Ovis aries: one gene and its partner. The protein of the gene in region 1 interacts with the protein of each later gene in a biochemical or structural test. Links are inferred from orthologs where the notes say so. Each region holds a gene or a part of one and is shown on either strand. Other genes may lie near its edges.

Region 1 (4,515 bases):
ATCGGAGCCGCCAGGGAAGCCCAGCAGGTCTTTAGGGTGGGCCCCTAATCCAATGTGACTGGAAACCTTGAAAAAAGAGGGAATCCTGGACCCAGAGACAGAGGCCCAGAGAGATCACCAAGTTGAAAGGTTGCTGTTGAATCACAACGCTGGGATTTTTGGCTCCTGGAGGAGAAGAATTTAATCTGGGGCCAGAGACGAGGCTTGATCATTTAGAGCTTTTGTGTAATAAAGTTTTATTAAAGTATAAAGGAGATAAAGTTTTTGACACAGGCATCAGAGGGGGGCAGAAAGAGTACCCCCTCTGCTAGTCTTTAGTTGGATATTATATAGTTATTAGCAGTCTGTTAATGAAAGAAAGGAATGTCTTAAAACTTAGAATGGCACCAGGCCCCTTACTCATAAGATGTATTTTGGGATAATTTTGGCACCAAATGGCTTATTTGGGGCCATAAAATGATTAATTTGAATTTTGAAGAAGGGCAGATTATTTTTTTTTTTAAATATCACTAGTTTGTTTCCTCCTGCTGCTTAAAAAAGATAAAAATGTCTGACACTTACAAACTATTTCCTCTGTTTAGAGACCCCTGGCCTTCCTGCCTGTTACCCTCTCAAAGTGAAGACTGGTGTTACAATGGAGCACCAAAGATTGCTGCAAACCACCAGAAGCTAGGAGAGATACCTGGAAGAGATTCTTCCTCAGAACCCTCAGAAGTCCTCTGCTGACCCCTTGACTTCAGACCTCTAACCTCCAGTGTATGAGACAATAAATTTCTATTCTTTAAGCCACTCAGTTTGTGGAACTTTGTTACAGAGGTCCTAGAAATTCAACATAACTATTTTGATACTATCCAAGGAAATTTCTTGACCTATTTCTTCATCTGCAAAGCTGGAAGCATCATCATGGTTCCACATCCTGGGCTCCATTCTAAACACTTTGCATAGATTATCTCATTTAGCCGTCACTTATACTTTACTACTGGCTTCCTTGGTAGCTCAGGCGATAAAGACCCTGTCTGTAGTGTGGGAGACCAGGGCTCGATCCCTAGGTTGGGAAGATCCCCTGGAGAAGGAAATGGCAACCGACTACAGTATCCTTGCCTGGAAAATCCCATGGACAGAGGAGTCTGGTGGGCTGCAGTCCATGGGGTTGTAAAGAGTCGGGCGCGACTGGAGCCACTAACACAACATACTTTGCTACAGCAGGTATAGGTACTCCTGTTATCTCCACTTTTTCAGATGAGATAGCTGTGGAACAGAGGTTAAGTAATTTGCTCAAGGTCGCATGGTAACTAAATGTCTAAGGCAATAAAACATCATTCACGTTTCCTGGGAAGTCTCCATGAGACTGCGAAGGTGGATGTGAACAGCGCTTTGTCATTAGCACAGCATTTTACCCTTTTTAAAATTAGAATCTCTAGATGCTGGACTTTGGCCATCTCTGACTCTTCCCTTCTCTTTCGACGCGATCCTTCCTTTCCTCGGCGACAGGGGTCGCTGCATCGCGCGGGCACTGACAGGTCCTTCTAGCCCGCAGCGCCGGCTGCTCGCTGGTGCCTATAAGTGGCAGTACCGAGCTCAGTAGACAGCAGTCAGCCGCCGCCGGTGCCAGGGCTGGGGCTGCAACTGGAAGTGGAGCTGGACGCGGAGGAACTGAAGCTGGGCCAGGGTGCAGCGCAGCACGGCGCCGGGGCCGCAAGGAGGGGCATTTCGCTGCTGGCCCACCGCGAGCCGCCCCCAGCCCACGCCAAGGCGCCCTTTCTCCAGGCCGCCTGCCTCCGCCTTCCGCCTCCCTCCATTTCCCCGGAATCTCAGCCCGGCGCGCCTGCACCCCGGTCCTTCTTTGGGTGGGGAAGCTCCCGGCCGCTCTCTGGTTTCACTCCTTCCTCGCAGCCTGGGCTCTCAGCTCCCTTTCTTCTTTTCCTGGACTGGGTCCCACCCCCTTCGATCCCCTTCTTCTAGCTCAGGCTCTCTACTCCTTCCCTTAGCAAGAGTCCCAGCAGCTCAGCCACTCTTCTCAGCAGAGGGTCCCCGCCTTCCCTTTTCCTTGCCTGCGGCCCCATCCTGTTCCTTCCTCTGTCCCTAGGGTGCTGCCTCTCCCCTCCCCCACCCCCTTTCCCAGGCCTGGAGTTCCAAACCTTTTGGTCTCCTCTTATGGTCCTAACTGGGTCCTGGTCCCTCTTCCCCAGTTTGGCGTTCTAGATCGGGAACCCAGCCTTCTTTCCACCTCCAGAGGACTGCTTCCACAAAAACACATCTCTCAAACATGAACTTTGCCTAGAGATTCTCGCAGTCTCTCCTGCCCCCTCCTGCTGACCCCTTGCTACCTATGTCCCAGGTCTTACTCTTATTTTGCTAAGGGTCGGGGGGGTGGGTAAGCAGCGGGATGCTTCTGTGGTCTGGCGCCAGTGGCCTCCCTCCGCCTCGAATCTTTCCGTCGTTGCTTGTGGTGGTAGCCTTGGTGGGGCTGCTGCCGGTTCTCAGAAGCCATGGCCTCCAGCCCAGCCCTACCGCCAGCACCATCAGAGGCTCAGAGCCTCCCCGAGAACGTTCAATTGGGGATGTCACCACCGCCCCACCGGAGCTCGCCCCCGAGAGCCGCCCAGTTAACCATTCCTTCGCTGAACACAGCCCAAAGGCTCGAAAGGCCTTTCCAGTCCTGGGCATCGACTACCAACACGTGCGCACACCCTTCGAAATCGCCCTTTGGATCCTACTGGCCTGCCTCATGAAGATAGGTAAGTCCACCTAGCCCCCGATGCTTCCGCTGTCACCTAGCTGAGGAGCCTGTTCCCATCCTTACCACTTGAAGCTGCCTAGGAATGAGGGTCTGGACTGGTTCTGTATAGTAGGCGGCCTCCATCCGGCCATCTTGATGCTTCTCAAACTTGAGCTCTGCGGCCTCCTCACATGGGAGCGGGGTATTGCTCACGGGAGAGAGCAGGACTGGAGGATGCTTCTGGTCCTAGGTACCTTCAGCGAGGCTCCCAGGCCTGGTCGGCCTCCTCTGGAGCCAGGTGCCCAGCTGTGTGTGTGTGAGACAGGCGTGTCTTCAGCAAGTGACACAGTCTGCTCTGTCACCAGCCACCAGTGTAATTACATGCTTCATGGAAAGCTGTTTCAGGATGGAGGATCTTTCTACTTGGTTTGCCTAAGGAGTTTGAGTAGAGTGGGCAACGTGTGTGCTGGAGACTTACAGGTGTGGTGGAAGATGAGGCATCACTGTATTCTCACCTTCCTTCCTTCATCCCTGGAGTGTTATCCATCAGCTCTGCCTGCCCAGGCTGGTCAGGAGCCCCTGAGTCAGTTTCCTGCCCGGGAATGCCATTCTTTATACAGTTTATGGGACAGGGGGCCTTGGGAATTCCTGAAGTCTGGTTTGAGGTGGGGGAGGGGGAGTGGAGGATGGTCAAGCTCACCTCCAGGTTGCACCCTGCTGCGTCTCAAAGTGCTGTCCAGCCGGGCCAGTCATGGTGGCCTGCCTGCTACTCAGCCAGGTGGGAGAGGGACGGGTGGAGAAGCTCAGAATGTTCTGATATGAAGAGACTTTGAAATGTTCTTTTTGGAAGAAGGAAATAGAAAAGTGGTTCCCCTCCAGAGGCTGTCTCCCCGCTAGGTCTGGGCACTCTGTTCTGCTGGGTGATAGATGCTGGAGATGCTCCAGGTGATAGGTGTTCCAGATGCTGCTGGAGCTCCCCAGAGCCTGCCCGACCCAGAAGTCCCTGGAAGTGGTGTCCTGGGGGGCTTTGACATCCGCCTTTGCCTTTTTAGCCCCCAGCCAGCTGTGGAAGGCACGAGGGCCTGGGACTCTGCTGGTTTGGGTTTGGAGAGTTTGTGATTTTTGGCAGGAAGCCTTGCAGCTCTCCCAAGGACACGCGGGAGCTGAGGGCGATGCCAGGCTGGTATGAGGCAGGCTCCGGGACATGCTGCAGGAGGGCTCGGGTGCTTCTGTCGTGACAGATCTAGGAGCTGGCTTCCTGATTCAGGGCTTCGGTGCTGTGACAGTGGCAGGCCTGTACATCGGGCTGGGCCACCAGCACCTATCCCCTGATGGCAGCCTGGAAAAAAAATCAAGGCCGGGGCAAGGGGAGTCGTGTGTACTGATTCTGACAAATACATGACCTTGAACAAACTGGGCTTTTTTCTGCAGGTCTCGCCCACCTGTGAAACCGGCAAGAATCTCTAAATTTGACCATCCATTGAATCCTGAAGCCCCTGTGTCCTAATTTGTTGTAAGAAGCTGAAGTGACTGGTGTGTCATTTGCCTGTGTGAGACCAGGAAGAGGCCTCACAGGCACTATTTATAAATTGCCCTCCTCCTCTCTCCAACCCCGTCACCTCCCAGCCGCACCTGGCATTGTGTTAGGGTATGGGGGGGGGGTCGGGGGGACTAGTGCACGCACGTGGGGCTCAGTGATTTCTGGTAGGTCGACAGCATGACCACTAAGCTCCTACTCTGGACAGCCAGGAGTTGGTCCGTGCAGGCCTGACTCCAGTCCCAATGGGACCAGGTTT
Region 2 (3,745 bases), on another chromosome or scaffold:
TAAGGCGTTTTGGGAACAAGACAGTGAAGCAAAAAGCTGGTTGGAAGGCAGTTTGAGCCAGGTCTGTCCCCACCTCCAAGGGTTCTGGTCCTCACAGTCACTGGAGAATTAAGGAAGTGAAAACACTGCACTCAAGCAGGCTTTCTTGCAAAAAGAGTGCTGTGATGCAGGGCTGCAGATTTGGATGTAGCCCCCGTTCTTTTAGGGTTTCCCAGGTGGCACTAGTGGTAAAGAACCCGCCTGCCAATGCAGGAGACTTGGGAGACGTGAGATAGGTTCCCTGGGTCAGGAAGATCCGCTGGAGGAGGGCATGGCAACCCGCTCTAGTATTCTTGCCTAGAGAGTCCCATGGACAGAGGAGCCTGGTGGGCTACAGGCTATAGGGTCGCACGAGTAGGACACGACTGGAGCGACTTGGCACGCACACCCAGTCTTCTACCCGCTGACCCTGGCCTCAGGGTGCCCGCTTTGGAAACTGGAGTGGAGAGCAGGTGGGCCCGGCTCCAGGCGCTATGTCTGGGTTTCCTCGGCCTCTGCCCTCTGGTCGCCTTGAGAGACCAGGAAGCTGGCCCACATAGACCTCCCAGGGACATTAGGATGGGAAGGAGCCCCTTGCCCCAGAACTGGGTCCTGATGCTGAAGCAGCCAGGTCACAGCCTCCCCTGATAAGCAGACACACATGGCCTGCCCGGCCCAGGGTCCGTCACATTTCCCCGAGCTCATCTCTATCCCCCTTGCTGCAGCCAGAAGCCCCTGAGAAGAAGATGCAAGTGAACCATGCCTCCTAGGAGCCTGGTGATGCCTGGGGCTATTTTTACACCTTGTAAGTCTGGTCTGTGCCCCTGACAGCAGGAATTCTGAGGTTATTAAAAATCTGTCCAGAGGAACAGTGGGAAACCTTTGTAAGAGATGATTTCAGAGAAAATTGAGGGGAAAAAAACACACACACTCAAAGACTAGGCTTACTGAGTCCTGGGGAGATCTCCTCTCATCTCTCTAGTTTGTTGTTTCACAATCCACCTTTTGTGATCCAGGCTCAGGGGCCACTTTTTTCTGGAAAATCTCCTGGAACGGAAGCTTGGGGATAGTGAGATCTCTAAACTGTGAAGTGTGGTGGAAGCTGCAGGGGCAGGATTTGAAGGGGATCAACTGTGCCCCTGCTTCCCTGGTGGCACAGCAGTAAAGAACCTGTCTGCCAATGCAGGAGATGCAGGTTCAATCCCCGGGTTAGGATGATCCCCTGGAGAAGGAAATGGCGACCCACTCCAGTATTCTTGCCTGGGAAATCCCACGGGAAGAGCCTGGTGGGCTATAGTCTATGGGGATCACAAAGAGTCAGATACAACTTAGCGACAAAACAGCAACAGCTGGGCCCTTAGAGAGAGAACCTTGAACATGTTCCTTTAAGCTGAGATGTGGTCTTAATCCCAGGAGGCACCCAAGTGCATTTGAGAAGCACCATCATCCCAGGCAAACAGAACTGTCCCTTTGCAAGGAGGCACAGGGAGGGCAGGGGGACCATCAGACAGATGGCGACCTGCCCCAGTAGAAGTTGATTAGTGGTAGGAGTATGGCAGCAGTGGGTCAGGAGACCGTGTTTGGTTGGAGTCGGCTCCAAGCTGTTTTCTCAGCTCCTCTGCCAGGACCTGCACTTGGCTTGTCGGTGCCCTCGCATGCATTTGCTGAGTACCCGCTGTGTGTTCAGCATGGGATGGACCCAGCCTTGGGTACCCTCCCCAAGTCCCGCCAGGAACTCAAGCCCTTTCCCACCCCTTAGGAAAAATACATTGGCGGGGACAACCTCAAACATGCCCTGATCTGTTAGAAAACCTGCAGTTAATTGGTGCACTTCACACTTTGGTAGGAAACAGATTACTCAGAGTGCCTGCCAACAGATCACTGTGCCCGAGTTTCAGACAGCTGATAGAGAGCAGGAACTGGCAAACTTTCTCTAAAAGGCCAGAGAGTAAATATTTTAGGCTTCGCAGGCCACATCGTCTCTGTTGCAACTGTTCAGCTCTGCCTTTGTAGCCTGAAAGCAGCCGCGGATACCATGTAAATGAGCAGGCGTGGCCGTGTGCCAATAAAACTTTATTTCTGGACGCTCAGATTTGAATTTCATGTAATTTTCACTTGTCATGCGATGCTATTCTTTTTTTTCCCCCTTAACATTTTTTTTTCAGCCATATCAAAACATACAAACCCTTCTTAGCTCATGGGCTATATAAAAACAGGCAGCAGGCAGGATTTGGCCCCTGGGCTGCAGTTTGTGACTCCCTGACCCTTTCGATCTGAAGGGAACAGCTGGGCCCTTAGAGAGACCCCTGCCCTCCAGGCCACAATCGCCTCATTAATAATAAAATTAATGACAGCGAGCCCATGCTGTACACCGACTGGGCCTGGCGCTGTGCCAGGTGCTACCCGTGGGCCCAGGGAGGCTACCCAGTAGGGTCTGTGGCCCCCCAAAGCCCAGCCTCACCTGCCTGGGTTCTGTGCACCAGGCATGCCTGGCAGCCCCCGCCCCACAGACACAGCTGCCTGTGTCTCCCCCAGACCCCCACATGCTGGTTTCTGGGTGCGGGGAGTGCAGCACAGGGCTGGACTAACCCCCCAGGGGGCCCCCGGTACCCCCCACGAGCTGGTCGCTGGGTAGCAGAACCCAAGGCTGGGACAGCCATTGTAGGTGAAGCGAGTGCTTGGAAGGGCCGGTTTCTCTGGGGCTGTGGGTGACAGTGAGATGAGCTTCTGTTCTGAATACACTGCCGACACCCCCTTGTTGCTCCTGCAGGAACCTGCGCAAGGGGTCCAGCGGCCTGGCCGATGAGATCAACTTCGAGGACTTTCTGACCATCATGTCCTACTTCCGGCCCATCGACACCACCATGGACGAGGAGCAGGTGCAGCTGTGCCGGAAAGAGAAGCTGAGATGTGGGTGTCCCGGGGCCCCTCCCCAGGGCGCACCTGGCCGTTCGCATGTCCCCGAGGCCTGCTGTGCCCCTTCGGGGGGTGGGGAGGGTCAGGGAGCACCAGCTCTGGGCCTTGGGGAGGAGAATTTCACAGCACAGAGGGTGCTCCCTCTCCTAGGCTGTTCTGAGACAGCCTCCTTGTTGACACTCCTCAGCAACTGGTGATTTTCTGGAAATAGAAGGGTCTGTCGGTGATGGGAAATTGGTTTGGACAGACTTAGTTTAATCCAGCCCTTCCACTAAGCAGCTGTGTGACCTTGAACCTGACGGTGGGAACGCGGGCTGGACACGTGGCTGGTTCTGAGGCTGGAGGAGACCTCAGGGCTGCTCTTGTCCCTCGCCCCGGTCCATGGCCCGCCACCAGACTCGGCTTCCCAGGGCGGCCTCTGTGGGCCCATGGCCCACGCTCGGAGCCGCTCTGGCCCTGGGTCTGAGTGCAGGGCAGGCAGCGCCCACCCCTCCCCGTGCTCTTTCCCATGACCCCAGCATCCTTCTGCACCCCGCCCCCGAGGGAGCAGCGTCTGCAGGGAATGTAAACACGGGCCTGGGCTATACTTAGCTCGGGATGTGGACCGAGGGCTGCTGGGGGCAGGGGGATGGCGCCTGGTGTCAGCCCAGCTTCCAGATGGTTCCAAGGGCTGGGTCAGGGGTCATGGGGCCTATGGGATGGGATGGACTCTGGTTCAAACCCGTGGCTGCCCCTCCGTTAATGAAGTGAAGTGAAAATCGCTGTCGTGTCCAACGCTTTGCGACCCCATGGACTGTAGCCCGCCAGGCTC

Evidence for each region.
Region 2: the proteins of SLC9A1 (region 1) and TESC form a complex in vitro, tested with the Homo sapiens proteins (4 studies listed by BioGRID and IntAct, with this or other methods). The link is inferred for Ovis aries from reciprocal best matches to the Homo sapiens genes SLC9A1 and TESC.

The regions. Positions count from the first base shown.
Region 1 is NC_056055.1:239,812,647-239,817,161, forward strand, and holds the start of SLC9A1 (sodium/hydrogen exchanger 1), read left to right. Parts: upstream 1-1,587; 5' UTR 1,588-2,386; coding exon 2,387-2,738; intron 2,739-4,515. UniProt on the Homo sapiens protein: Electroneutral Na(+) /H(+) antiporter that extrudes Na(+) in exchange for external protons driven by the inward sodium ion chemical gradient, protecting cells from acidification that occurs from metabolism.
Region 2 is NC_056070.1:58,035,034-58,038,778, forward strand, and holds part of TESC (calcineurin B homologous protein 3), read left to right. Parts: intron 1-2,788; coding exon 2,789-2,928; intron 2,929-3,745. UniProt on the Homo sapiens protein: Functions as an integral cofactor in cell pH regulation by controlling plasma membrane-type Na(+)/H(+) exchange activity. Promotes the maturation, transport, cell surface stability and exchange activity of SLC9A1/NHE1 at the plasma membrane.